Linked DNA regions of Arabidopsis thaliana. The protein of the gene in region 1 interacts with the protein of each later gene in a pairwise test. Each region holds a gene or a part of one and is shown in the gene's direction. Other genes may lie near its edges.

Region 1 (7,745 bases):
TTTGGATGAATGATGATTATTTTTTTAGTCAATTAGATAGTGGTCACTGATCAGCATCCATAGAGCATATTCCAACTAAAGATTTCAACAGTTGGTGACCGGTCCCTCTGTGTTTTCCAATATATTTAACACAACTTTACATAATTTTATAACCAATATTGTTTAAGATTTTGAATTATAGCTAAAAAGAGAGAAAAAAACAATATTGATTCGGGCCATCAATTTTTTTGGACCAACCTTTGCTAGGAAAACGAAGATACACATCATAAGGTGACGTATAGAACAAAACGAACAGACAAATAAAGCATAACAGATGTAGTTTGTAAAGAATAAATGGTGTAGAACGAATAGAACAAAAGCTGAATAGATATCTTAATTAGTTTGGTGCGAGTAACGGATAAATGAGTTATCAAATTTTGACTAATGTTTTGAAGTTTCGAAATATATATATGATTGTATTAATCGGTATTTAACGCTTATGATTTTTCAGTTTATACTTGAATCACCCTACTTCTTGAGGTTGGTGTGTTGTCCAAATATGATTCACAAAAACATGACCAAGAGTAAAATCAAACCGCACCGTATTATTTTATTATGCTTCATGACACCATTCATAACCAAAGTCTTCTTAGTTTTCCCCATACACACCAATAAAGATACTAAAGAAATAGCTAATAAGTAATTTAAGAACTATGAATCGTAGCCGTAACTTTAACTATACAAGAATAGCTGTATAATCGTGACAGCCCTTGACTTTGGGAGATATTGTCCAATACTCCAGTTAAGAGAAAGAAGTGGGAATGTGGGTTACATCGACAAAGGCTTTGCTCCAAGTTAATTAATGGCTATAATTGGCGGAATATATTAGTGGAAAATATAAAGGTGAGAAAATGATTTCTACATGCCTTTTAGCAATTAAGAGAAATAGTGGAAAACAATTATTTTCTCTATATTCTATGAAATAGCAAAACAGAAAAGAAAGAAAAAAGAAAAAAAAGAAGTTCCCCTTTGAAATAAGTGGGGTTTCATTGAAAATTCAAATAGTACTACTCTTTCATTCTTTTAGTGTCCAGTCAACGTTCTCGAGAAGAAAATATATTCAACGATTAGTTTGTTGTTACATGAGTTTATTGAATTAAGTTTTTAGAATGAATATATAAAATCTTGAAAATTGGATGCTTCAGAAGCAATTTTCAGAAATTTTGTTCAATTCATGGTAATAAAATGTTCAATTAATTAAAGTCATTTTTCAAGTGCAAGAATGGTAATGTTAGCATAATACAGCGGATATATATATCCTCTTTGAGGATAAAGAGTTGGTGGATATAAATATAACTCATGTTATTTCAATAATAGTCACAATCTTTTCTTTACATGCGTATATGAAAACATATTTGCACAACTTATTCCTGAGTTTAGGACCATTATTAAGACGATGTATTATTATGATCTATTAACATATAGTTGTCTTTGATGAAATTGACAGCTCATTGGGGCTATAATGTAAGAATTGTTCATTACTTTTACTTACGAGCTACAGTTTAGACTTGTATAAATAGATTGAATTACTAGTATTTATGGTCCAGTAAATATGAAATATTCATTACTTTATATGTATAGCAATTAGATCAAAGTAAAATGGTCCAAAATATGTTTTAATCCACTTTATTCAATTAGACAAAGAAATTTATTCATTCTTAGAAAGCAAATACTCCATTTTAAAAAAAAAATATCAGTTTAAACAAATATTTTTCATTTTAAATCCGTTGCCATATGTATTATTGAAATGACAAGAGTTATTATGACTGAACCAATACATTTTACTATATTGATTGATAAATTTTTATTATAACTTATCTCGTGTCTCCTCTAAAAACAAATTTGTCTCTAACCAATAAAACAATTATATGGTACCACTAAAATATTCCAAAATATTAATTGGACCCAACGTGTATATCGAAAATAATTTAAAAGAGAAAATGTTCTAGAATCTAGAGGAAGAAAATAACTCACCAGAAATAAGAAAGAAGAAGAAGAGATATAGATACATTGAACCTAGACATAAAACCCACCCAAACCCCAGTCTCAAAGACGCCTATTAATAAGGAACGTTCAAGAACCAAAACAAAACACAAAAAAACTCAAAGTGACCAAAATAACCAAAAGGAGAAATCTTTAGAAAACCTTTAAAAGTTCTTAAAAATGGGGAAAGGAGGAAACTATGTGACGGTGGCGGCTTCCGAAGTGGACGAGCTACGACGGAAGAACGGAGAGATGGAGAAAGCTGTGGAGGAGATGAAGAAAGAGATGTTGCAGTTGTGGCGGCGGACACAGGTGGCGGAAGAAGCGGAGGAGCGTCTCTGCTCACAGCTAGCCGAGCTTGAAGCAGAATCTTTAGACCAGGCTCGTGATTACCACTCTCGTATCATCTTTCTCATGAACGAGCTCTCTCGTCTTTCTTCAGACTCTGCCTCTGCCTCTCCGTAGAATTAGATAGATATTTGCTTTTAAAGAAAGATAGGTTTTTTAGATTGTTTGATGTATCCTCTTATCGGCTCATATCAATGCCAATATGTAGAGTTGTCTTTAAAACAAATATGGAAGTTTCAATCAAAAAAAAAAATCGATGTTGTTACCGATTGATTTTTGCGATTAATGATGAATGAAAAGTCTTGAAAACAATTTAAAGTAAATGATATTCGATGTTTGGTTTGACTAAAATGGAATTTTGTTTGTAAGACGTGTAAATTACTTTAACAGAAAGAAAATTTAAAGCAATTATGGTCATGTTTCCTATTATTATATGTGAAATGACCAAATTACAAATAAAGATTTTGCTTTTAGATTTTTGCGTATTATATGAAGAAGTGTTTGAATTCTACTGAATCATTGACATTGCAACAGTGGTTTTGGTCTTTCTAGAGTTTGACATAGTAAAATTGGAGAACTTGGTTTGCTTTTGGGAGAAAAAAGGGAAACGAATATACGGATCCAACGCCAGTGTACTATGTACAAATATAAACAAAGGGTTTGTTTTTGAACAAATCTAGTTTCTGACAGAACCAGGTGACCTGACGTGGGCAAACAAGTCTAGTCTTTTTTTTTTGTTAACCAAAACCCTTTAATTTTTCATAAATTGTGATGCAATTAAAACAAACAAATATTTATAATGTTTTTTTTTTTGAAGTATAACTAGAATTGTCTTTGGAGAGACTTGGAAACTGATGATCCGAGAGGAGATCTCTTTGAATTATGAGAATGATAATAGTTATCTTGTATTTCTTTCTAACCATATAAAACGGATTTTCTGACAAAATGTTTTGTGTTTAAGTGTACTTTTGTAATACCAACTTAATTTATATAAGCAAGTTGTGCACAAAAAACCAATTATGTGCAATTCAAGTTTACATTCATAATTTCTTAGCAAAAAACAGAGAGGCTAGAGATTTGGCGACCTATTGGATGGTGGAGCTAATTTCATGTGATCTTTTTCTGAAATAATTGGAAAGCTAAACCCGAAAGAGAAGGATTTGCTAATTGGTAGGCAAATAAAAAGATCACATATATGATATATGGCCTTTGAGTCATTTTCATGAGTATGTGTTTTATATTAATTGGTCTAGATATCTATGTGATACCTAACATAAACAAAACAATAATCCATTTTTCTAACTACAAGTAAAGTTTTGAATGATGAAACGTAATCGGTCTCTTTAGGAAATTTAGGATGGCCAAACTGCATTTTTTCACTGATAATGTTTTACCGTCGTTGGTATAAACGTGTACTACTTCTTGTACATAACCATTCAGTGAGACGGTAAGAAAATGGTAGTATATAGACGGGTGGTATCATCATGTTTTTATTTATCGTATTGCTACCTTACCACTAGTTTTACCTTTTGTAAATATATCGTCATCTTTTATTGATATCTTATATAGTCTTAGAAATATATATTGGTTTGTCATTTGTGTCACTAATTAGACTATTAGCTTTTCTTTTTGAAAACATATTATATGCTAAACGTTTATGTAAAATACTTGAGTGAAACAAAATAGAGAACGTCATGAATATAAGATTTATATAACGTCTGTATAACCGAAACACTACAAGTTTTTCTTTCTTTCTTTTTTTCTCTTTCAAACACAACGACCACTCACGAGCCACCGTCAATGACATTTCATATGATTTATTACGTTATCTTTGTCATAAAGCTTAATGAGATGTGAAAATAAGAATTACAAGGAGATTCATTACTCTGTAGTACTATTATTACGTAACATAAGAGTCAAAATTACCAAATACTACAATATTATGTGCAACAATTTAATACTTCAACCCACAATGATCAAAAATAATTCGTTAATCGGTATGCAAAAACTTTAAAATCAAATATTAAAAGAAAATGAAAGAAGTACATTTTATGGCCTCCCTATTATTAAAGCCTACAATAGATTCATTAGTAATATAGTCTCCTTTAAAAGGATTGGTCTAAAGTTTTCGAATATCCTACCCAAATCTACAAAATAGTTTTGCTAAAAAGAATTCACATGTTATATTATTGGATCCAACGTGTATATCGGAACATAATTAAAAAAACAAAATGTTCTAGAGGAAGGAAAATAACTAACCATAAATAAGAACGAAAAACAAGAGATATCAATGAATCTAGACATATACCCACCACCCAAAGACTAGTCGCAGAAACGGCTATATAAGGAACAATCAATTACCAAAAGAAGAAGAACAACAACAAAAAGTAAAGAGACACAAAAACAAAGAAAAGAGAAATCATCAAAAACCATAAAATAAAAAGAGAGAAAATGGGAAAAGGAGGAAACTATGTGATGGTGGCGGCTTCGGAGGTAGAGGAGCTACGACAGAAGAACGGAGAGATGGAGAAAGCGGTGGAGGAGATGAGGAAAGAGATGTTGCAGTTGTGGAGGAGGACACAGGTGGCTGAGGAGGCTGAGGAGCATCTTTGCTCTCAGCTTGCCGAGCTTGAAGCCGAATCTTTAGACCAGGCTCGTGATTACCACACTCGCATCATCTTTCTAACAAACCAGCTCTCTCGTTTCTCCTCCGACTCTGCCTCTCCCTAGAATAGATATTTGTGTAAAGGATAGGTTCTTAGATTGTTGGATCATATATGTATCCTCAAATTGGTTTATATCATTGCCAAATATGTAGAGGTTTTTATTTTTGTCTAAATCTTGAATTTCTCCTTGGAAAATTTCTATATAAACAAAAAAAAATCATTGTTGTTACTGGCTCATCTTGGGATTAGTCGGGCGCTTCAACAAAATCCAAATATCACGTAGTAAATCTTTAAAAACAATCGATCTTGTTGAAAATAAAGCAAAAGATATTCGATTTTTGGTTAGTAATAACTCAAACTTTGTTTAAAAGACAACTAAATTCCTTTTATATTTTGAAAGCAATTAATAAAAAAAATATGTTTCTCTTCTTTTCATATCCCATTTGTTGAATAATCTAGAGTAATTGAAATAACGATTAGTTTGATCGTTTATTTACAAATAAAGATTTTAGTGTTCCTAGATTATTTAGGGACCATTTCATCCATGCGTCTTCCGTTGAATCGTTGACTTCTCTGCCCATGCAACATTGGTTTTCAGTCTTTGTAGAGTTTGATGACGTTTAAATAAAACAAAATATATGCATTTTATTTTGAAATAATTCTAAATTTTCTAAAGAAGGAGCTTGACATCGAGCTGGAAGCTTGTTTCTTATCAAAAGATTCGGCGACCTATAAGGAGCTAATGTGATCTTTACCAGAAAAAAATTCGAAAGGTAAAACCCAAATAGAAAGTTGTATATATGCAATTAGGCTCCTTCTCCTTGCTTTAAACCCTTCTTCTCCAGCAACAATATCGTAAAGAACAACTAAAATCGTCATCGCTTCATCTAACGCCTTTAGCCTTACTGCTTTGGTTGAGTGGATGGACCGAATTTTAGTTATTGTTTATGCTTCCATGCTTTTACTTTTTTTTGCCATGGAACCATTTCTATAGGTCTATAATCATCGATTGTAACTTAAATTGTTTTCATTTTTATGAAATATTTATATTCTTAGCAAAAAAAGAAAGTTGTATATATGCTAAGTCGTGGGCAAATAAAAAAGTAGTCCAATATGTGAGATATGACCTCACATCTACATGCCTTCAATTTGAGTCATTTTCAAGAATATATGTTTATAACAATTGATTTTAGATGTGGATGTGATGCCTAACATAAATAAAGTAGAAAATATACAATCCTAAACTACAACCAAAATTTGGAATGGTGAAACGTAAACGGTTTTTTAGGGAAATTCAGGATGGTCATCTAACGACCATCTATCTTTAATTCATTTTACAAGTTTGTATTCAGTCCTAAAAATCTGTAACAAAATCTTATGATAAAAGCTTAACATAATTATATATATACACTATAAATTCAAATCTAAACAAAAGATCCGTAGTAGCACAAAGGTTAAAATTGAGGACATTCTTCTATTTCCGGGTTCAAATCCCGGCTGCGGATTTTTTTTTTAAATTAATAATATTTACATAATTGTATATATACACTATAAATTCAAATCTAAACAAAATATCCGTTGTATTACAATGGTTAAAATTAAAGAACATTCTTCCATTTCCGGGTTCAAATCCCGACGGTGGAAAATATTTTTTAGTTTGAGTAAGAAAGATGATGCAAAGCTGTATAGGAATTTTGATAACCACATAAATGTTGGGTGACCCATCAACAAATTTGTTAAAAACTCAAAATCCATGTGTTTTGGTTTCTGTTAAATTAAATAATTAATAACATGGTAATTTAAAGTTTGGCTTTAAATGATCACATTACTGCTGGATTAAGAGCTTTTATTGGGTTATACATACATTAATTCAACTATTTCCAGGTACATATAGAAAACTTTGTGTGAACTTTTAGATATCGCGACCATATTTTAAGGTTGTATTCAATTTTTCTTGCTAGCAACATCAACCAATAATATTTAAGAATAATAGGTGCTTGAGATCCTTATAACATCTTACAACAACAAAGATTCTGCAGAAGAAGGAGAGAGGCTCTCAAGTCTCAACCACGACTTCCCCGCTTGCCCTTTAGCTCAGGGTCCCTGTATAAATAATCACCACAATTCAATTCACTTCAGTCATTTCGCAGATTCATGTCTCTCAAAATAGGGCGATGAGCAGTTAGATTCGAACCTTTGGATGTGATCAAGTATCAGTAGCCTTGGTCCAGGCGGGATGCTCACGTCTCTTAGCGCGCTGGACACACAATTTAGCGGGCATAAGATTTTGATCTAAGACAATTAACTTTAGTTGGAACAGAGTATGAAACCTCTGGAGCTCAAAACAGTATAGTTACCTATCAGTGAGCAATGGCAGAGTTGGGTCAGCTAATAAACCTTTCTTGAAGTTCTTCTCATACTTCTCTAGACCCAGTTTCAACAACATAGATCTTCCCCGGGTGTAATATGGATCTTCAACACTTGGTTTAGAGAACCTTTCACCCAACTGAACAAGACCGAAAAGAAGAAAATAGAAACAGATGTTTAATGACATGCCTGCCTAGTTTCAAGAAGAGTCTTATCTCCTATTTATATATATGATCACTTACCTTGAAAAACACTCCTTGAAAAACAGCGAAACCAGCAGCAGTGGTGATTGCATTCATAGGCTGTCCTTGTAATCCTGCGCTCACAAGAGAATATGCAACT
Region 2 (9,857 bases), on another chromosome or scaffold:
AGCAAATGCAAAAAAAGGAGGAAACTTTGGGTATAATCAAAGCCTCATAGGGAAAAGAAATAAATAACTTACCATCTGCTGCAACCGCAAAACTTCTTCATTTAACTTGGAAACTTCAAACTGCAAAAAGTCAGCATACATTATAAACACACATATGTGAAAGAAAAATCCTATCTTCACATAACACAGAGACTCTCCTTTATCCAAAGATTGAATTTTGATTTCCTCTACAGCCCAGTATAAACAATTTCATAAAGTCTAGACCTTTAGCTGCCTACTTTAACAGATTCGATTAGCGCCTCTCATCAATTCAATAACGTACCTGGTAGTCTCGGGAAAGAGATTGACGATCCCAAACAACCATTGAAACAGAGACGAAGAGGATGATGAGCAAAGCAAGACGTCTTGGTCTTCGGAGATAAAACGCTGGGTTGAAATATTTCCATATCCCATGACTACCACTTACAAGTTTATTCCTCGCCATCTCAATTCCGACGATCAGATCTGATCTCGGAGGTGACAAATTTTTGAAAAAGGAGAAGAAGAAGAAATTGAAACCATGAATTAAAAAGAGAGGAAGAGATCGGATCAGAGTAAAGAGAGGGAATGATCCGGTTTAAATCAGTTGGTTTGGGTTTGGTTGGTTATTGGTTTTGGATTTTGGTTTACTTAAAAGGAAAAAGTGAAAAACAAAAAGTAATTTATTGTTTTAGAAGAGGCCCAAATTTAATCTAGGACGAAGCCCACAGTAAAAGCATGCGTTGTGACGTCACATGAATGAGAATAAGTTTTAGGTCCAAGAACTTCCATCCCAAGTTATCTGAAAACATGCTTTTAGAGATGATGAAGAACAGAAGAAGGGAAACATTGTACATCTTCCGGACCGGAGGATTTGGTTGTGGAGATACTCACTAGGGTTCCGGTGGTATCTCTGAAACAATTGCGATCAACACCCAAAGGGTGGAACGCTCTTATCAAAGATGGACTCTGCTTAGACACAACGGCAGTCTCCTCTGGTTATCAAGTTGATTGATTATAGGGTTTAATTAGTGAGTCTCGATCTCCATGGAATTGTGACAAGGTGTCTTGGAGAAGGCAAAAAGGTAAGTACCAGACCAGAGCTAGTGTCTTGAAACAGTTGAAAGTCACAACAAATAGTTGTGTAATGTTGGTTTTCTTTTGTGAAGGAAGCATACATATTTCTTTTATAACACCATGACCAGTGAAACACTTGGTGGGTCTATGAATGATCCTAATTATCACATTGGCTTTGCGTCTTTTGTGTAATTTGATATGGTTATAGAGTTGCATGTCACATAGGTTTCATTGACTCGGAAGATGATATTTTCTGGATAGGTTTTGGTTCCTGGCCTCATTTACATTTTGATCAAAAATCTTGGTTTTCAAGGATATACTAGTTTGTAAAATTTCATAAGGCCAATTTTATTTTACAAGTGCCTTGGGACTATAGGTAGATAGATTCAGGTACATTAGCAAATGCAAAATGAGAATTGATTTATCAAACTTTTAGTGAAATACACATTTTAATTTATTAGTCTATTAAATATGTAAGTATGATGACTTCATGAAAAATTAAAGGAGTAGGGCAGAGATATATAATGTTCAAAGATATAACCCCACAAGTCAATTATTACTTAGAAGCATTTTGAGTTATACAATAGAAATATATTAAGTATATATATGATCTTCCCATATTTATTGAGTAAGTAAAAAGAAAAAAAATGATCTTCCCATATTTATATAAAATTATTTACATTTAATTTTAATTGAATATGCTTTTAATGTTACAAAATTATAACCACAGAAATAGAAAAAATTAATAATGATAAATAAATGTTGAGAAAAAAGAAAGATAGTAAGAATTAAATTTAGGAAAAAAAGAAGTTAAAAATCTGTGTGGACAAAAAGAAAAAATCTCCATATTTATTAGTGTAAAGGATAAAATAAAAGACAATTACGTGATCTCCTCCTTCCTATATATATAAATGATCTTCCCATATTTATAGAGTAAATCAAAGAAAAAAAAAGAAGAAGATTAAAAATCTTGATTCTATCGTCTCTCCATCTTGATTCTTTGAAAATTGGTTTAATCACAGTCGTGTGAGAGATGATGACGTTCAACGACCTTCCGGAGGATTTGGTAGTGGAGATACTCTCTAGAGTTCCGGCTGTATTTCTAGCACGATTACGATCAACATCCAAACGATGGAACACTTTGATCAAAGATGGGAAACTTTCTAAGAAGCACTCTTCTAATGCTCCAAGGCACTCTATGGCTCTCGTGTTGATTGATCATAAGGTTTATTCAGTGAGATCCAATCTCCGTGGAATTCACAATAGCGTTGCTCCATATGTTAACATAACATGTCATTTTAGCCTAAAAGAACATCTTTCTAATAATTATTCAACAGAAGTCGATATAGGCCACGTCTTTCACTGCGATGGCTTATTGCTATGCACCACCAAGGACTATAGACTGGTGGTTTGGAATCCGCTTTCAGGTGAAACAAGGTGGATTCAACCAAGATTTTGCTACAAGAAAGATGACTGCTATGCTCTCGGTAGATCCTCTTGCAACAAGTACAAAATCTTGAGGCAGGGTCGTCTTATCAATCCTAGCGAAGAACGTTACGTGTACAACATCGTGGGGGAGGATCTTGTTATCAACAATAGCCAAGAACGTTACGAGTACGAAATCTATGACTTTAACTCTAATTCGTGGAGGAGTATTGGTGTGATCACCGGCTTGTTCAATCCAAATATCACCAGTGGCGTGTCTGTAAATGGAATCACTTACTGGTTTGATATTAGTGAACAATTCTTACTAAGTTTTGATTTCTCAACAGAGAGATTTGGAAGTGAGTCTCTCCCAGAGGGTGATAGTCATTTGGCTTTATCAGTGACTAGACAAGGGAAACGACTTTGTATGTTATCTACTAATTACACATACGTAACCGGAACAAACGTTAACTTATGGATAGCAACGAAGACTAGTGAGAACACCAGAGCAATGTCATGGAGCAAGTTCCCAATACTGCGGGGCGGAGTTGGTCTACGCTATCGTTGTCATTTTAGGGAAGGGGTGAGTTTCTTCGCATACCAAGTTAAGGAGAAGATTGTTGTAGTTTCTTGTCATAGACCCAACCGGCACTCCAAGGACATCATACACATTGTGGAAAATGATAAATTCATAGAATTGGATCATCATGGTGCAAAACCTACACATGAATTATCTCCTACCCCACGTCTCCTCATATATGTTCCAAGTTTGGTTCAAATTCAACATGGTATTTAGTTCTTTGGAGGAGGCACCAAGTCAGCCAGTGCATGGCCTTGTAATTGTCACACTAGTCTATGCATTATCTAATCTAACTCTTGATATTTTATAAGTAAGATATATGTACGCATTTCTAAGTTATAACTTGTTGCTACCCTTTTGCTAGTGGATAATTCGAGGCACATGGCATTTTCATAATTGGTCAATTAGTTATTAAGTACCAAAATTTTGAAAAGGAAAAAAATTAGAAATGCTTAGAACATATTAGAGCAAAACATATGTAAATTTTGTGCAAGAATAAGGGAAAAGCAAATAAAATCAAAATAAAATTGTATATTGTGGAATTAAGAAATGAAAGAGGAACGCAATTTAGTTTTAAAATCTGACATATTAGATATAGTTGAGTCAATTGTTTTCCACCGAAGAATTGGTTGTGGTTCCATCTAACTTAAGATATTTTGTGTTAAGATGGTTTATTTGTAGAGATATATTATAATTATATATGATTTCTAACCAAAACAACAAGAAGTTTTTAAAGATGGGTACAAATTGAATTAACTAATGTAATTCCACATTGTCATTTGGTAAAAGAAAGATATCTTGACAAAAGAGATTAAAAGAATTATGTGAAAAACCTTGGCGACCTTAAACCATCTCCAATGTCTTTATATCTTTGGCATCATTAAGAGTAAATGTGTATCTTGATCAAACCTGAAACCACTAAAGAAAAACATATGAACTCAAATAGAGGCCAATTAAAGATGAGGTCCAAAGAATAGGGAGTGTCAAGCCTTTCACAAAGACGACGCCGTTTGGCTAAAAAAGGCCCAAGATCACAACGACGACGTTTGCTGAAGAAAAATGAAAAATCTTTCACTACAATCATTAGACCAAAAAAGAAAAAAAAAATCAAAGGAGCTTCCTTTTTTCGCTCTCGTCTCCGTTTACCCTTTTGGGATTTTTCCCTAAACCTTTTTCTCTCTTTGTATAATCAAATCCTCTTTATCTTTCATTGTTTCGCGTGAATTAGCTCTGCAAAGGCTCTTCATTCTTCTCGCTTGGATTCCTCTGCACAAAAGGTACCCATTTGATGTCAATTTTGGTTTATTGTTTTGATTGCCCTGTCCAAGTGACAAGTCTTTGTATGTATGATATAGGTAGTGGGTTCTAGTTTGTAGATGAACTTGTCGAATTTGGAGGGTTTTTAGTTGGAAGCATTTATATGTGGGATTTGGAATTGTTCTGTCTATTTGTTCTTAGCTTAAAGGTTGGGACTTAGCTTAGGACTTATGAGCATGAGAGAAGGAGACTTTTTTTCCAATTCGAATCTGATTGATGAAACTTTTTTTACTGGATTTGGGTAGATATTGTTACGTTTTAAGGTAGTTGACTGTTGTTAGTTGTTGTTTACTCGAGATTAGATTATTGTCATCTACTCTTGTTATAAAAGAAGCTCCTTTGTACTATATCAGTGCTGATAACTATTAATGAAGTTCCTTTCCCTTAGGTGGAGATAGTTTCTTTGTATTTGCAAACTCAATTTATGTGAGAATATATCCACCATTATTGAGTTTCTTCAACCTATACCGTCTCTGACAATCTCGCTTTTTCGTTATTAAGAACGTTCCAGTCTTAATTAATGTTATCTTCCTTTGGATGTAATTGGTAACAAATTGCAGAAAAAAGACCATGGATGATCTTCATGGAAGAAATGGTCGAATGCACATTGGTGTAGCGCAAAATCCAATGCATGTGCAGTATGAAGATCACGGTTTGCACCATATCGACAATGAAAACAGTATGATGGATGACCATGCTGATGGTGGGATGGATGAAGGAGTGGAGACAGACATTCCTTCTCACCCTGGAAACTCAGCTGATAATCGTGGTGAAGTTGTAGACCGTGGAATTGAAAATGGAGATCAATTGACATTGTCCTTCCAGGGACAAGTTTATGTTTTTGACCGTGTCTCGCCTGAGAAGGTAACTTTAAGTTAATTTTGGTTCTTTGATGTTTTAGTTTTGGATACATATGGTCAACGTATCCACCTGGTTGGTTTTGTTTTTCGCTTATTGAAGTGCTGCTCAATATTATGCAGGTTCAAGCTGTGCTTTTGTTACTTGGTGGAAGGGAAGTACCACATACACTCCCAACAACCCTAGGATCACCTCATCAGAACAATAGGGTACTGGTAATAAAAGATTTAATACCATATGGGAAATCAGTTTATTCCCCAGTTTGTTGCTGACTAATAAATGAACCAGGGTCTATCTGGTACTCCTCAACGGCTTAGCGTTCCGCAGCGGTTAGCTTCTTTGCTCAGGTTTAGGGAGAAACGAAAAGGGAGGAACTTTGATAAGACTATTCGCTATACAGTCAGGAAAGAAGTAGCCTTGAGGTACGTTTATGTCAAGTACTAGCTTTTGTGTATGTCGAGCTTTTGAGATACGTCTGTTTTGCAATTAAGGTTTTGTTTGTTCATGCAGAATGCAGCGTAAGAAAGGTCAGTTCACGTCGGCTAAATCAAGCAATGATGATTCTGGATCCACTGGATCGGATTGGGGGTCAAACCAGAGCTGGGCCGTAGAAGGGACTGAGACTCAGAAGCCAGAGGTTTTGTAAGTTGAAAATGCTTTAAATTTCTTACAACAGTTATATTAACTTTAGTGAACTCGTTATAAAACCTCAATTAAGTCTAATACATGGAAACAATTTATTTGGTAACCATTTAATGACGCTCTTTTCACTTCCATAAACTTTGTCTATATACGTCAACTCTGAAATTTATAGTTATACTTATCATGATGGCATCACTCATTCGATACCTGCAACTGATAACTTATACTTGTGAGAGGATAAAAATAACTGAACCGACTATGTTGTTGCATGTTAAGTCATTGTAGTTGATATGAACTTATTTATAGCTTGGTATACTTGGAAAGCTTGTCTCTGTTCTTATTCTTCGTCAAATGGTTGTGAACATGTTAAGATGTCGACACTGTGGAACAAGTGAGAAGTCAACTCCAATGATGCGACGTGGACCTGATGGGCCAAGAACACTTTGTAATGCGTGTGGACTGATGTGGGCAAACAAGGTAAGCTAAGAGTTTCTTAGTTCACATTGATCACCTCGTCTCGTATCACTTTTTTGACTCATTGATCAGGCCTATATATCCGAGTATGAACCTAACAATAACATTCCCTTTGACTTTATAATATCAGGGGACTCTTAGAGACCTATCCAAAGTCCCTCCTCCGCAAACACCTCAGCATCTATCTCTGAATAAGAATGAGGTGAGCCGTGAGCGCAGTATTTCATAGAGCTGGAGTTTTGATTTGCTTATTAAGAGAACATACATTCATTTTTTTTTTCTCAATCACTTTTGTTGCAGGACGCAAATCTTGAGGCTGATCAAATGATGGAAGTAACTGGTGACATTAGCAACACACAGTGAGAACTGAGAAACCATTGGAAGCAAGAAAGGATCTCAAACAAAAACAGTTGTTATCATTTCATTTGATGATGGAATCGAATCTGAGTTGTGTTTAGGGTTTCTCTGGGTTAATCTCAGTCTATGTGGGCACATTTTAGTCTTCTACAAATTATAAGACACTCTTCACTTATTTAGAAGCTCACTCATCAGAAAAGAAAAAAAAAACTTTGCTCAGTCTCTCATCTGTGTGTTTGATTATATTTTCAGGCAGAAAACTTTTTTTTGTTCTTGTATTTGATTACAATTAGTTAAATATTTAAGACTTAGTAGAGATAATGCAATCTATGTATAAAAATAGAAACAATGATTGGTTATGTCGTGCAACCCAAGTGACCTTAATGTCGTACACACGTTCATCAGGTTAAAACGAAATTTCTCAGCAACTTCACTATTCTCTCTGTCACATTGTTTTATTCTTTTCCATTATCTTTATTGGAAACTTGATTAGAAAGAACTGATTAAGGTATGAAGATAATTAGTGTACCATTCTTCACATGATACGAGGTGAACAATAGTATATCAGAATACTAGAATAATTTTATAAGTTATAAAGATGAATGGTATACCACTTATTACAAAACGAAAACATAGTTAGATCTGAGAAGAAGGAAAGATTTTTGTTTTAAAAAATGAGATGGTTAGATATATGCCATGTTAAGAGATGCCACCATGTTCTTCTTCTTCTTCTTACCCGGAAAAAACTCTTTCTTCTTCTCTTTCCCATAAAAAGAAACAAAAAAAAACTAACTTCCCACAAATTTTGCCAAACCAAACCAAAAATAGTAATGATCTCATTCAATTTGAACCCTCTCTCCATTTTCTTTCATAGTTTTTTTTTAGGGTAAATCAAAATATTAATGTTGGTTAGAAACTCAAAAATTAGTTTCTCTTTTTTTTCTCTGTGATTGACAGAGAGGTAAGAGAAAAAAAAGAGAGAAAGTGTTTCGGTTTTTGTTGCCTTCTCTCGAGTTAGGCCTTCTCTCTTCCGTCACACCATCATTTTTTTTCTCCATAACGACCAAATCATAAAACCGGTCGTTCCTATTTTTTCTTTCTCTGCGTTTTTTGTTTCGAATTCTTCAATAGAATTTTAAAAGAAAGAAGAAAGCTGGGTGAGACGAAGGAAGGAAGAATGAGCACTTCGTCGAGCAACGGATTGCTTCTGACGTCAATGTCAGGACGTCATGACGACATGGAAGCTGGTTCTGCTAAAACTGAAGAACATTCTGATCATGAAGAGCTTCAACATGATCCTGATGATCCTTTTGATATTGATAACACCAAGAACGCTTCTGTTGAATCTCTTCGTCGTTGGAGACAAGCCGCTCTTGTGTTGAACGCATCGCGTCGGTTTCGATACACTTTGGATCTTAATAAAGAAGAACATTATGATAATCGAAGGAGGATGATCAGAGCTCATGCTCAAGTCATTAGGGTATGTATTTTCTTTATATAATTCTTCCTATCATTTCAACAACAATGTTGTTTGTTTAATTGAATCTCACATCGATAAATCACTTTTATGAATCAGGCAGCATTGCTTTTTAAACTGGCTGGTGAACAACAAATTGGTATGATCTCTTATAAGTCAAGCAAATCTCTGTTTTGTTTTCTGGTTTCTTGTTGAATAATCTTTAGTTTCTTTTGGTATCAATTAGCGTTTGGATCATCAACACCAGCAGCTTCTACTGGTAACTTTGACATTGATCTTGAAAAGCTTGTGTCTATGACAAGGAACCAGAACATGTCCAATTTGCAGCAATATGGAGGGGTATGATTCAAGACTCACACATTCCATAAATAGGAAGGTTTCTTGATGCTGACATTAATATATCTTTCAGGTCAAAGGTGTTGCAGAGAAGTTGAAGTCAAATATGGAACAAGGAATCAATGAGGATGAGAAAGAGGTGATAGATAGGAAGAATGCTTTTGGATCTAACACTTACCCAAAAAAGAAGGGGAAAAACTTTTTTGTAAGCAAAGAGTCTTTTACAACTTCTTCGACCGTGTTTTTATCGGTTTGTGGATACTCATATGTTTTTTTTCAACTTTCTGTTTGTCCAAAAGATGTTCCTCTGGGAAGCTTGGCAAGATTTAACTCTCATCATCTTGATCATAGCGGCTGTAACATCATTGGCATTGGGAATAAAGACAGAGGTATACATGCTTTCCTTTCGATAAGTTCTTAGTTTTTCGAAATCAGGAATGTACTAATTTTCTGTCTTATTACTTCATGATCAGGGTTTGAAAGAAGGTTGGCTTGATGGTGGAAGCATTGCCTTTGCGGTTTTGCTTGTCATTGTTGTTACAGGTATATACATGTTTCTTTCTGTGATAAATTCTTGAAAACATTCTCAATCTTGCTCTTAATCCATTTAAGATAAATCTTTCTTTACACTTTATCTTTTGATTGTTTCAGCTGTTAGTGACTATCGCCAATCTCTCCAGTTTCAAAACCTCAACGATGAAAAAAGAAATATACAACTAGAGGTGCTTGCTTTAACATCTTAGTTTGTTTTGCAATTACATGTTTTTGAGCTGAAGATTAAATAAACGAAAACTCTTACAGGTCATGAGAGGAGGGAGAACAGTGAAGATATCAATCTATGACGTTGTTGTCGGAGATGTTATACCTCTTAGGATAGGTGACCAGGTAGGTATACTTTGTCTTTATATTCCATCTAATGGCTTCAGAGTTAAATGACTATATGGCCTTATTTATTGTTGTATTCATATAGGTCCCTGCGGATGGAGTGCTAATTAGTGGTCATTCTCTTGCTATTGATGAATCTAGCATGACCGGTGAAAGCAAGATTGTGAGTTCATTATGGTTCTGCTTGTGCAATTTTTATGGTCATCTTCCCTTTCTATTTGCTAACACAGACCTTTGTTTGCAGGTTCACAAGGATCAAAAATCCCCTTTTCTAATGTCTGGCTGTAAAGTAGCTGACGGAGTCGGTAACATGCTGGTAAATCTTTGAAACTTTTGTCCTGTTCTTAGTTCTGTTTTCACATAGTTGTTCATACTTCCTAGTAGTTATTCTTTGTGAGTGTTTCAATAGGT
Region 3 (12,564 bases), on another chromosome or scaffold:
CTCAGATGCAGGATCTGTTAACTTTGTCTTTGGAGACTGTACAAATCCATCAACTGTCTCTCATGAGCCAGCAATCATATTCAGGTAAAACTTCATTTCAATTGTTCATCTAAAAACCAAACCTCTAAAACTTCCAAATATTGATTTTATGGCAGCTGTGTTGATGACTCTGGAAACTGGGGACGTGGTGGAATGTTTGATGCTCTGTCAAAACTGTCTAATACTGTACCCACTGCTTATCACCGAGCATCCGAGTTTAAAGACCTTCATCTTGGAGACCTGCATCTCATAAAAATTGATGGTCTGCAACTTTTTTTTTTTCTATCTTCCTTTCATTTTCTAACAACATCAAAGAGTTCTCATGTATTTTGTGTTGTGTAGACAATGATGACCAACAAAACACACAAGCAAGCAAGCCTCTTTGGGTGGCAGTTGCAGTTACACAATCTTACAATTCGAGGCGTAAAGTCCCACGTAGTAGCATTTCAATTCCAGACCTTGAAAGTTGCTTAGCCAAAGCTTCATTCTCTGCTTCTCAGAAATCAGGTACGAACTTAATTACTTTCTTTCTTTAAAGTTTCATCATATTTGGAATTATAAACAAAAGTGCTCCCAAAGAGCTTAACACTTGTGTTGTCATTTCTGGTATGGTAATGTTCTCTCCTCAAAAAGCCTCACTCCACATGCCACGTATTGGTTACCAAGACGGATCAGACCGATCTCAATGGTACACTGTTGAGCGTCTTCTTCGAAAATACTCCTCCATCTTCACCGTCAAAATATTCGTGTAAGTTTATATGTGTCGCCCGTCTTCTTTCTTTTGAATAATCCAAAGCAAACTCATTTTTGTTGCTTTCTTGTAGGTACTATTATCGTCGATCTCCCTGAATCACACAATGGGATAGTCTTTTTGACGCTGTAATATAATTTGCTTTTGGTTGTACATGTAACGGTGTCGTTTGTATGTAGAAGGAAGACTTGTAATTGGGCCCAGTAGTGGCCCATATTAATGTATAATTAAATAATAGCCTAATCTTATAATTCAATCTTGATCACTGAGCCAATTTACACGTGTTGCGTCTCTAGTGCCTCTGGTTCCACGTTGGTCGTCAAAATTGAAATCGCGTTTCTATTTTCTTCACGAGGTTTCTTTTCCCCGCGGCTTAGGACAATATGATCCGAATCGTTGAAGAAACTGTCTCCTTGTGTCTATGTTTCGTTTTGATCCCACATTCCTAAAGCTCCAGGTACCTTTTCTACGTTTCCCGAATTCTGATTAGTTGATTCTTCTTCCTCAATCCGTTCTTCCCAAACTTGTTGCCGATTTTTGGATCCGGTCATCAACTTTGTTGTTTATTTGTCATCAATGCAAAAATTGAGAGCGTCTGTGTTTTCACTTGCATGTTATCAATTCCTAATGTTGTTTGCCGTTTCATTAACCGGATTCGAGACTCTTCCCGCTGGATTTCTTTTTTTCACGTCTTCTTTTCTATTTTTTATGGATTTGGTATTTTGACATGTTAAGCAACCTTCGTTAATCAGTTTAAAATCGGTGCTTTCCGAAATTTTTAGAAGAAACATGGAAGCTTAAAATTTTGAAATTGCTATTTGGAAAAGCTATCATTTCATAGGCTTAGTCTTTGTAATTCTTCTTTACTTGTTGTTCATTGGCATGAATATATGAAGGATTTTATATTTGATTGTGTGTTTGTTTATGTTGTTAGAAATTGATCAAAATGGGAGAAGCTGGTCAATCCAGAGACGGAGAATCTGTCACGCCTCTTGTTGTAAGTATTGTGGCTTCCTTTTCTCACTTTTTAGATAATACTTTCAGAAACTATACTTGCTTTATGCTCTCATCTTAATGGAATTCTGTTTGGAGTCAACTTAACGTTCTCTTGGTTTCTATATCAACGGAAACATATAAGTTGATTAAAATGGGGTTAAAGAGGATATTCGTAATTTTTGGTTCTTTATGCATTGAGACTACCATTCTAATATCAGTAATTTTTCCATGGCCAGGGCGGTGGTAATGGGGACAATGCGGTTGCACCACAAGTGTTTAATTCTTTACCAGCTCTTAATGAAGCTGCTTCTTATATAACTCAAGCAACGTCTTACTTAGGGAGCTGTTTTTCTGACTATTCAGGTACCCTTTCTTTCTATCTGTTGATGTCGTACTCAGTATGCAATTCCACGTTCATATGCTAGGCTTTACTTATGGAAAATATGCTTAGCAGATATTTATGGTGTTAGGATCTTATCGTCACCGTAACATAATTCAGGCTTTGCTTAGCATCTGTTCTTTCAATGCTTTCTTCAGTAGAATATGGTGGCAAGGATACTATTTCCCACCCCCATGAGTTGTTACGATCAACTTCCGGAGTTGACGGGAATTCCCCAGTGAGTGTATGCATTTCGCCTGGTGAAAGGTTTTCAACTTCTTCAGAGGCATCTACATCTGATGCCAACAGCCCGTCGAGGGAATCTACAGAGATTCTGCCACAGGCAACAAATGCAATAGTGACTTCGAATCGGTTAAATTTAAATGGAATTTCAATGTTCCAAGGGTACGTGTACTTTGTATTACAGATACAAATTCCCCATACTAGTAGATATGTAAAATCTTAATACTATGAATATGTGAAACTGAAGCAATACAATAATCTCTATACACTACTACTTCTTGTCAAGTTTTCAGCATTTGGGTGATTGATCTATTTTAATTCAATCAGGCTCATTGAGCGGGCACGGAGGACTGTTCGTGGCTCGGCAGATGACATAGGATGGTTACAGCGTGCCCCGGAGATGCCTCCTGTTGAAGATGGAACTGATAGGTTCAATAAAATTCTGGAAGACATCGGGTATGAATTGGTTGTAGTTGCATGTTTTGTGTGCTTTGTGGCCTTTTCAATATGCTGTTTAACATCCTGTTTTTTACTAAATGGCTGCGTTGATCTGGTTTTTATATCCAGGCATGGTGTACACAGGCTTCCAAATACAGTGGTGTACTTATTGGTTCCAGGTAGCAATTCTTATTCTTTGCTGCCAGCCACTTAAACTACATTACTGTATATTAGGACTCTCAAAATTAGTTGAATTTTTTTTAGGTCTTTTCAGCAATCATGGACCTCTATATTTTGTGGATACGAAAACGAAATTCTCAAAGATGGGTTTGGCGTGTCATATTGCGAAGATTCACAGCGAGGTAATCATAACTAACTCAACTTAGTACAGTTACATTTGGTGTATAGCATACTAATATATGGAGAAATGTTTATATATCAGTCCTCGGTTGAGAAAAATGCGAGAGAGATAAAGGAATACATAGAGGAACTCTGTTGGGGATCTAATAAGCGGGTTCTACTTCTTGGGCATAGCAAAGGAGGCATAGATGCAGCTGCTGCTTTATCACTATACTGGCCTGAACTAAAGGATAAGGTCGCTGGGTTGGTACTGGCGCAGAGTCCATATGGTGGAAGCCCAATAGCTACAGATATCCTCCGTGAAGGACAACTAGGTGATTACGTCAATTTGAGAAAGATGATGGAGATTCTAATCTCCAAAGTCATAAAGGTTTGCAACATTCCTGATCTAACAAAGTCATTTCAGTTGCATTATATCAGCTTCTTGTGATTGCCTGTTAAAATCCTTAGTTAGGTGGAACCGAGAAACTAGGGATAAACCAAAACTTATTTTGTTTCTGGATTCTATTGCTCTGCTGATCTTTCTGATGAATTCCTTGGAACATTGTGAAGGGTGACATTCAAGCATTGGAAGATTTAACATACGAGAGAAGAAAAGAATTCTTGAAGAATCATCCGCTTCCCCGAGAACTCCCCACGGTTTCATTCCGCACAGAAGCTAGCATTAGCCCAGCGGTTCTATCCACTTTATCACACGTAGCACACGCTGAACTTCCTCTGACAAACCAAGCCGCAAAACTGCCAGTGGTAATGCCACTTGGTGCTGCAATGGCTGCTTGCGCTCAGCTACTTCAAGTCAGATACGGTGAAAAGAGTGACGGGCTAGTGACTTGCTGTGACGCAGAGGTTCCTGGTTCTGTGGTTGTTAGACCCAAACGTAAACTAGACCATGCCTGGATGGTGTACTCTTCCTTGAACGAGGTTCCTTTAGAAGCTGATGCTGCTCAAGTTTGTGAAGCGCTCTTAACTTTGCTTGTCCAAGTTGAGCAAGAGAGGCAACAAAAACTCGCAACAAAAATCGATTGATAAACCAAATTGTTTTATTTCTACTTTCGTCTTGAGACTTCAAATTACTGTATTTGTTTCTATCTTTTTGTTTTATTTCTTACTAATTTACTATCAGGTTTGAATCACACGATAACAAAAAAATTATTACAAACGGTAGATTTTATATTTATAAGACTACTTAATTTGCTTCTTTTTTTTTCTTTTATTGTTGATTAATTTTTATTAGAAGATTAGTTATGTTTTTCTCTCTATTCCTTTAACGAACCGTGATCGTGCGGCTCGGATCGTTGGAGATTCTATGGACGGCCGATGCTTATATACTGTAAGTGGAATATGTAATTCCCGAAAGTGCCCTCCAGATGTTCACAAAATTACGCCATCGTACTCGAATTAACTTCAACTCTCTCTTCTCTCTCTCTTTCTTTTCACTCTTGTTTTTGTTTCTGTGAGTGCTGTGTGTGTTCTCGGTTTGTAATATCTAAGTCGCACAAAGATCAGACAAAGTCTGTTTGCGTTTGATAGCATTAGAGTCTGATCGAATTTGGAAGACCTGTGAGATTAGGGTTTCTTTTTGTTTGTTTTTTTTTATTCCGAAGGAGAGCTGCGGAGCAATTGGAATTACCTCGGTTAAAGCAATCACGTAGCTTTGGATCGTTTAGGGTTTTCTCATTGGGTTTGGGGGATTTGTATTCGAGCTTCCTCAAACTCAATCTGATGGTGATGTGAGACAAGGCTTAATCCTGTTAATTGGCGATTCTAGGGTTTTTCAATGGCGAGCACAGGCGAGCCTGACCGTAAAAGGCGTCACTTTAGCTCCATATCACCTTCTGAAGCTGCAGCCGCCGTAAAGAAACAGCCTTTCTTTTGGCCCTCCTCCGAGGACAAGGTTTCTTTCTTCTTCATCTCCCCCTTGTGCATGCCCTTTACATCTATTCTCTTACTTATCCAATCAATCATAGCTTTCCAGCTATTAGAGATTCATATACTGAATGTCTTTTGTCTCGAATTTGGTCTATTTTGGAATTGGGATTCTCTCTCTTAAGGAGTTTGTTTTCGTTTGATACAGCTTGATACTGCAGTTCTTCAGTTCCAAAATCTTAAGCTATCACAAAAGCTAGAGGCTCAGCAGGTTGAGTGTTCTATTCTTGAGGATAAACTCTCTCAGATCAAGGAAAAACAATTACCATACAACTCCAGTTTGAAGACTGTCCATAAGTCTTGGGAAAAGGTAACACTGAATTTGCTTTCGATTCTAATAGAACTTGGATTAGATCTCTTTTTCTAGAGAACTAATTAATGCTTGTATAGCAGCTTACAGCTTCAGTGGAATCATGCTCTGTTCGTGTGAGTGATTCAAGCAGCGGAGCTCATAGGTTTGTAAACAAGGAGGGTATGAACAACTTAAGCCCGCCTTTTCTTCGTTCTGTTAGTGCTAGGATCTAGTTTAGATTTGGTTTTATATGTTACAAATATGACTTTTTGAAAGGTTAACTTTAAATTGCTACACAGATGGGTCTTCTCCAGCCGTGAAAAACGATTTCATCAACCGGCTACTTGAAACTGGTGCTACTGAGAGCTCCTCATCCAATATCTGCTCGAATCAGATGGAAGAAAATGGAGTGAATACGTCAAGCCAGATGACGCAAACCTTGTATAATCTAGTAGCCGCGACAGAGGATTTGAGGTGTCTGAAGGATGAATTATATCCCACAGTTCTCAGAACCAATCTTGGTAAAGGTATGACTTCCACTGCGATCAATTGTCAGCTCTTGTTATGGCCTTTATAACATTTTAGTATTAACCCAGGTCCTATGTGGAATTGCTTTCTTTTCTAGATTTGTGCGGTCAGCTAGCTCTGAGTGAGTTGGAATCAGAAATTAAAAGTTTCAGAGGGGATCTAGATGATGTACTTGTGAAGTTCAAATCACTTTCTAGAGAATTGCAGAGTCATCGCGATGCTGATGCTAAAGTTAGAGTAGACCTCAAACGAATAAGAGGTAGCTACTTAGTCTCGTCTCACTCGACTATATACTGTTAAAATGGATTTTTTAATTGGCATTGTTTATATGGATATAGTATTCATGCATCAAATGTAAATTTGTAATCATATACGTGGCTTGACAAAAAAAGGTCCTATATACATGAAAAGCTACTGAAATCATATCTCGCTTTTGATTGATGAGGATAAGTGTAAGTAGAGGTGATCAAATTGTGAATCTTCCAATTCCACGCCTGTGTATTTATGTCCAGCACTACTCAGTTGTTTAATAGCCATGATTGGATTTAGATCATAGAGATTAAGATTGAAGAGAGAGATACATTAAGACTGGAAGAAAACCTCTATGGTAGAGCCAGCTGTTAAGAAGACATGTAGCTGTGGAAGATATACTCATTAGCGAACTGATGGGTGTACAAAACCCTTCTGAGACATGAACTTCTTAGTTTTCTTTTATACCATTTACCCATATTTATATATTTCGGTAGATTTTAGGAGATAGAGAAGCTGGTAATTCTTTGAGAATGACATACATCCACATAAGTGAAGCATCTTAATTTTGTTGATAAATTACCCGTTTACCTTAAGATGTAAGATTTCAATACTGACAGTAGCCACAGTTAAGAAATTCAAAGAGTTAAAATTTATTTTAGTTTACATGCCTGCTTTTGGATTAATGCTTCTTGACTACCGCATCAACTGATATTATACTTTATTTGGTCTATTCGAAGGGGAGCTAGAGGATGAGGTTGTGGAGCTTCAGCAGTGTAATGGTGACTTGTCAGCATTGAGAGCAGAAAGGGATGCAACAGCTGGGGCGTTTTTCCCAGTGTTGAGTCTTGGAAATAAGCTTGCTACCAGTGATCGGGAGAGGGATAAACAAAGGGATCTGCAAGACATGGAAACAGTTCTGAAAGAGTTAACGGTATCTTTGTTTTTCTGATTTGTTTTCATTGGTAATTCTTTAAGTTTTGGGTTGATAACGGCCTGGTTTCGGTAGGTCCTGGCTTCAGGCAGGCTACAACAGCTAAAAAATCTTCATGAGGAGAGGACAAAGATGCTTGGAAAAATGAGTAATTTACAGGTCAGTGTATTGATCCAATTGGGGTATTTGTATTAGTTTGTCTCTGTATGGGGTTTGATATATGAAAATTTGTGGAATGGTAGCCTCTTCCTATTGCTAAAACTGATGTAAGAGTTTTCTAACAGAACAAGTCAAAGTCTGTGAGGTGCATCTCATCTTCTCAAGCCTGCCTTTCTTTGAAAGACCAGCTAGAAAAATCCAAAGAAGCAGTTTTCCAGTATATGGCTTTACTTGAGAAACTGCAGGTTATATCTGGTTTGCGATTTTCATTTTGTATCTATGTTTATAAAATTTACGTTGTATATTTAGTTGTGAAGCTTTCCTCCATTCGAAAATTTCAGGTTGAAAAAGATAGTATAGTCTGGAAGGAAAGGGAGATAAATATAAAAAATGAACTAGGTGATGTTTCTCGAAAGACGTCTGCTGTTACTGATTCTAGAATGGCTTCTTTGGATTCGGAGATACAGAAACAACTGGATGAAAAAATGCGAATCAAGACTAGGCTGGGAAATATATCAAGAGAGCGAGGTCACAAATTGATTACTTTGACTTCCAATTCTGTATCTCCCACCCACACCTGTTTCACTTTGGAGTCTGATTAAGTTATTCGTATGTCAGGTAGAAAAGAAATCTTTGCAGATATGAAGGCATTAATTTCTTCGTTCCCCGAGGAAATGAGTTCCATGCGTAGTCAATTAAACAATTATAAAGAGACTGCTGGAGGTATTCATTCTCTGCGGGCTGATGTCCAGTCCCTCTCTGGGGTTCTATGTAGGAAGGTGGGAAATAATGTGAACAGTGATTGATGCTTATTGTTACAGTTTATGTTATGCTTACTTAATAAGCTTAATTGGTGAACAGACAAAAGAGTATGAAGCATTGCAATTGAGATCAGCTGATTATGCTTCTCAGTTAGGTGACCTGAATGCTACGGTATGATGCAATGTATCTACCTTTTTCAGTGTACTGCCCATGACTTATATATGTTGACAGTGTTCATATTGGTTATTGTTACTTTGCATTATTTCTTGGAAAAAGTATAGTGAAAAGGCGGATTAGCAATTTAAATCTTGTTAAATGTCTTTGGTTGGCAAAGTGGTAGTTGTTATGTTCTTTACTTTCAATTGATTGGAGTCTGTCATGCAGGTTTGTGATTTGAAGAACAGTCATGAGGAGTTAAAGTTGTTTCTGGACATGTATAAACGTGAGTCCACTGATGCGAGGTAAGCACAACTATATATAACGATATCTAAGATTTCAATTCTTAGAGAAAAGTTTCCTTATCTTCCCCTTCTCACTGTCCAAATATATAGTATAACAACAAGTGCTGTTATTAATCTTGCCTTCTGACTGAACTATCGAATCTTGCTGAAAGTTTGTTGTTAATTTTTCTTGCGTTTCTGAAGAAACTTATGTTCACATTTTCAATTTATCCATGACAGCTTTTAATATCTGATCTATTTTTACAGTTCCATCTGATAAAAACTCTTTTGGATGTGTTAGGATTTGTTTATCTTCTTATCTTGACTGAACACATTATTATAATGCGGTTGGTATATTGCCTTAAGCATCACTGTCGATAATGTGCTATGGCAGGGACATAGCTGAAGCCAAGGAACAGGAGTACAGGGCTTGGGCTCATGTTCAGAGTTTGAAATCATCCCTTGATGAGCAAAATCTGGAGTTGCGCGTTAAGGCAGCAAATGAAGCTGAAGCCGTTTCCCAACAAATGTTGGCTGCTGCGGAAGCAGAGATTGCTGATTTAAGGCAGAAAATGGATGATTGTAAAAGGTAAATAAGTATAAGTAGAAGTCTGCAATTTATAGATGCAATCACGCAGTTCTTCCATAGGAATTCTTTGAGAGTTTTTTGTTTGACAAGGATAAGTCTTTTCTGTTTCAGGGATGTCGCCAAGCATTCTGATATCTTGAAATCTAAACATGAAGAACATGGAACATATCTTTCTGAAATACAGGTTGGCTTATGAAATTTCGTGTTTCTTTGTTCTTAACATATTTTAAAAACCTTGATGTTGCGTATCGATTTACAGTAACTATATTCTTTTAGACAATTGGAAGTGCCTATGAGGACATTGTACCGCAAAACCAACAGCTTTTGCTTCAAGTTACAGAGAGGGATGACTATAACATCAAGGTATCGTGTCCAAACTCTTCTAGTTCCTCTATCTGATCTATCTCTGTGACTTCTCACTTACTCTTATATCTAGTAGTGTTACATTTATTCAGAGATTGATGGATCGTTTTAATGGGCATGGACCAATTTCTGTGGTTATACCTTGTATGTTTTGCTAGAATATCATGAAAAAAAGGATGGTTTGTTACTTGGATCAGACAATGAGATGTAATTTTTTGCTCGCCCATTGTTGTTTCAGCTTTTCTTGGAAGGCATAACTTCTAGGCAGATGCAAGATACTCTGCTTATCGATAAATACATCATGGATAAGGATATACAGCAAGGCAGTGCATATGCCAGTTTCCTATCCAAGAAATCATCAAGAATTGAAGATCAGGTATATCTGTGTGTGCCCGTATGCTCAAATTGTAAGCCTCCTTATTGTGAGACTTTGACTAAGGTGTTTTTCTTTTTCCTTGCAGTTGAGGTTCTGCACAGATCAGTTTCAGAAACTAGCGGAAGATAAATATCAAAAGTCTGTTTCTCTTGAAAATCTGCAAAAGAAACGTGCAGACATCGGGAATGGCTTGGAACAAGCTAGGTCAAGGCTGGAGGAGTCCCATTCTAAAGTTGAGCAAAGTCGGCTGGATTATGGGGCATTAGAACTGGAACTGGAGATTGAAAGGTAAATCAATTGCTCCCTCCATCTTCTCTATCCTAATTAATAGTCATAAACAAGTGTTAGTGATGAAGGTATCGTTCTTTTCTGCGTATATCAGGTTCAATAGGAGAAGGATAGAGGAGGAAATGGAAATAGCCAAAAAGAAAGTTTCTCGTCTTCGGTCTCTCATAGAAGGATCATCGGCCATTCAAAAGCTCCGACAAGAACTCAGTGAATTTAAAGAAATTCTGAAGTGTAAGGCCTGCAACGATCGCCCAAAAGAGGTAAAGAGTCACTGCTCTCCATTATTTAGATCTCAGCAAGACGCTCAAATCATGATCCCTTGAATCTTTTAGTCAACTGCGTGCGTGATTGCTGATTGGTTTTGGTCTTTGGCTTAACAAACTAGGTGGTGATTACGAAGTGCTACCATTTGTTCTGCAACCCATGTGTGCAAAAGCTCACAGGAACTCGACAAAAGAAGTGTCCAACATGCTCAGCAAGTTTTGGACCAAATGATATTAAACCTATCTACATATGACCGCACCAAAACACTCTGAGCATGATGATGTATGATGAAACTGTGAAACACACACAGGTACTTTTTCTCATATAGGATAAACATTAGATCTCTCTGTAATTATTACTCTCTTTTATTGGGAAAGGTCATGAAGAATAATTGGATATGGCAAATCAGAGTTTTTGAGGAACCATTTTGGGATTTTGATAATGTGATAGAGAATAGGTAACACTGTTAGGGTTTATGTCTTTGGTGATACTTCCTTTTTGTTTGTAATTTGGAACATGGTTTCCGCAATTGATTTTTCAATTAAATCTTCTTTTTTGTTCTACATTTGTGTATGATCCAAACGTTTGTGATGTAGTGTTCTAAGATTCTCAATTTAGAAAACACGAGGCAAGATTTTGGATATTTGTACCATTTGCGATGAATTGCAATCCAATTTGTTTGTTGGCATCTCCAAAGACTTCGATCCTTGGGATCATGATTCGAGATGGTCTTTCACAATCCTAGGTAGGAATTACAAGTATTTTTGGTGGATCTCCAATGACCTTAAATATTATAAGTGAATTTAGTACTAGTGTTTCTCTCTGTAACTACGGTTTGTAAAAGTGGGTTAAAACCAATAGTTGAAAATGTAAGAAAAAGACTAAAATCATTTCATGCATTATCAATTTTGAGCTTTAACATACAACTTCGGAATGTACCGTAAAAGTATTTTAGATGGCCTCAATACCATGTTTTCCCAATAATACTTGCTCCTTTAGCCCTTTACATTTCAAGTATTGCAAGTGTTTCCTCTTCCCGCAAGACATGATCATTGGTATTTGCCGCACATGTTCTTTTTCTCTTTTCTTTCTTTTAAAAAAATGGCTGAGAGGTGAAAAGAAAGAGTTAATTTATTTGAACAATATGCTCTTAATTATTTTCTTCTTCGTATTGTTATTCTCTTCTGCTACTGCTTTGAGTTTGGTCTTTCTAATTGCTTGCTTTTTCTTTTCTTGGCCACTTTATTCCCAAAGATAAAGATCACATGTTTTAGCTCCATTCTGCTTCTATCTCTCGGGATCTATATACATATACGTCTGTATATCACTAATTTGATTAAAATATCAAAAGTGCAGATTGTGGTAGAAATATGTTGTTTGTGTTACAAACAAGACCATTCATTATAAATTATAATAGTAAGAAATTAAATACGTTTCTTATAGTAAGGAAATTCATGACTATATTATTATTTAACAATGCAACTATACATAAGAATCGTTAGCAAAATATTTAGTAATAAGTTTTCCTTGTTCCTATTTTTTCGTTGTTATATTTACGAACATTTTGACACATTATCTATATATATTATACAGTGGTTTTTGTTTTTGTTTTTGAGGTAAAACTGTAAAAGAGAAAGAAAATAGCTTAAACCAACAAGAAATAAAATAAGGTCACGCACATAAATAAGTAAACTAAGACCAACAAGAAAATAGCTTAATACACTGTCAACCTGCATTTTTCTCTTTTAAAAGCATAATATTGACGAAAGAGGAAAACAATCATACACTTAGTATCTTAATTACTTTTCCTAAAGCACTACGACTCCATTTTCTTCAATTTTATCTTTTTTGTGGAACTTGATTTTTTTTTTTTAATACAACTATACACATTTCAAATCTTTTTCATTTTACTCTATATTTTATTTGGTAACAACAACAAAAAAATCTGATCTTATTAGTCTATTATACTTGTTGAAATTAATTACCTTGAAAATAGTGTCACGGGACAAGATCAATTTCGATCCAAATAATTCGAATTTATGATAAAAATTAAGTTTGTATACTATTTTCAACATTTTCAATATAATTAGCTCCCTCTTGGTATACATAGGGTTCCTTTTCCTTTGCTTTTTTGAATTAGATATATTATTGGTTTTACACATTGCTAGTAAAAAAGAAGAGATAATAT

What was found.
Region 2: the proteins of LSU2 (region 1) and ZML1 interact in binary tests that used the Arabidopsis thaliana proteins (3 or more experiments, as listed by UniProt).
Region 3: the proteins of LSU2 (region 1) and HUB1 interact in binary tests that used the Arabidopsis thaliana proteins (3 or more experiments, as listed by UniProt).

The regions. Positions count from the first base shown.
Region 1 is NC_003076.8:8,438,214-8,445,958, reverse strand, and holds LSU2 (response to low sulfur 2), read left to right. Parts: upstream 1-1,857; 5' UTR 1,858-2,202; coding exon 2,203-2,487; 3' UTR 2,488-2,680; downstream 2,681-7,745. Other genes in the region: LSU4 (response to low sulfur 4), read left to right, coding at 4,822-5,100; AT5G24650 (Mitochondrial import inner membrane translocase subunit Tim17/Tim22/Tim23 family protein), read right to left, coding at 7,100-7,139, 7,231-7,293, 7,394-7,542, 7,646-7,745. UniProt on the Arabidopsis thaliana protein: May be involved in defense responses monitoring. Probably implicated into osmotic stress signaling.
Region 2 is NC_003074.8:7,417,845-7,427,701, forward strand, and holds ZML1 (ZIM-like 1), read left to right. Parts: upstream 1-4,191; 5' UTR 4,192-4,377; intron 4,378-4,977; 5' UTR 4,978-4,987; coding exon 4,988-5,281; intron 5,282-5,397; coding exon 5,398-5,490; intron 5,491-5,563; coding exon 5,564-5,697; intron 5,698-5,785; coding exon 5,786-5,917; coding exon of another isoform or gene 5,918-5,921; exon of another isoform or gene 5,922-6,288; coding exon 6,289-6,394; intron 6,395-6,521; coding exon 6,522-6,593; intron 6,594-6,691; coding exon 6,692-6,754; 3' UTR 6,755-7,061; downstream 7,062-9,857. Other genes in the region: MNS2 (alpha-mannosidase 2), read right to left, coding at 73-120, 323-484; AT3G21170 (F-box/associated interaction domain protein), read left to right, coding at 2,129-3,316; ACA9 (autoinhibited Ca(2+)-ATPase 9), read left to right, coding at 7,926-8,228, 8,325-8,364, 8,452-8,564, 8,635-8,766, 8,861-8,950, 9,035-9,104, 9,213-9,283, 9,363-9,446 and 3 more. UniProt on the Arabidopsis thaliana protein: Transcriptional activator that specifically binds 5'-GATA-3' or 5'-GAT-3' motifs within gene promoters.
Region 3 is NC_003071.7:18,540,667-18,553,230, reverse strand, and holds HUB1 (histone mono-ubiquitination 1), read left to right. Parts: upstream 1-4,578; 5' UTR 4,579-4,983; coding exon 4,984-5,100; intron 5,101-5,280; coding exon 5,281-5,442; intron 5,443-5,525; coding exon 5,526-5,604; intron 5,605-5,723; coding exon 5,724-5,951; intron 5,952-6,049; coding exon 6,050-6,211; intron 6,212-6,941; coding exon 6,942-7,135; intron 7,136-7,210; coding exon 7,211-7,294; intron 7,295-7,419; coding exon 7,420-7,539; intron 7,540-7,635; coding exon 7,636-7,822; intron 7,823-7,912; coding exon 7,913-8,073; intron 8,074-8,155; coding exon 8,156-8,227; intron 8,228-8,440; coding exon 8,441-8,517; intron 8,518-8,890; coding exon 8,891-9,085; intron 9,086-9,196; coding exon 9,197-9,269; intron 9,270-9,361; coding exon 9,362-9,448; intron 9,449-9,524; coding exon of another isoform or gene 9,525-9,560; exon of another isoform or gene 9,561-9,684; intron 9,685-9,686; coding exon 9,687-9,824; intron 9,825-9,909; coding exon 9,910-10,112; intron 10,113-10,206; coding exon 10,207-10,372; and 4 more. Other genes in the region: ASG3 (SNF2 domain-containing protein / helicase domain-containing protein), read left to right, coding at 1-84, 156-301, 382-546, 673-787, 864-888; AT2G44970 (alpha/beta-Hydrolases superfamily protein), read left to right, coding at 1,212-1,247, 1,725-1,787, 2,023-2,149, 2,324-2,570, 2,736-2,864, 2,976-3,025, 3,111-3,208, 3,289-3,576 and 1 more. UniProt on the Arabidopsis thaliana protein: E3 ubiquitin-protein ligase that monoubiquitinates H2B to form H2BK143ub1. H2BK143ub1 gives a specific tag for epigenetic transcriptional activation and is also prerequisite for H3K4me and maybe H3K79me.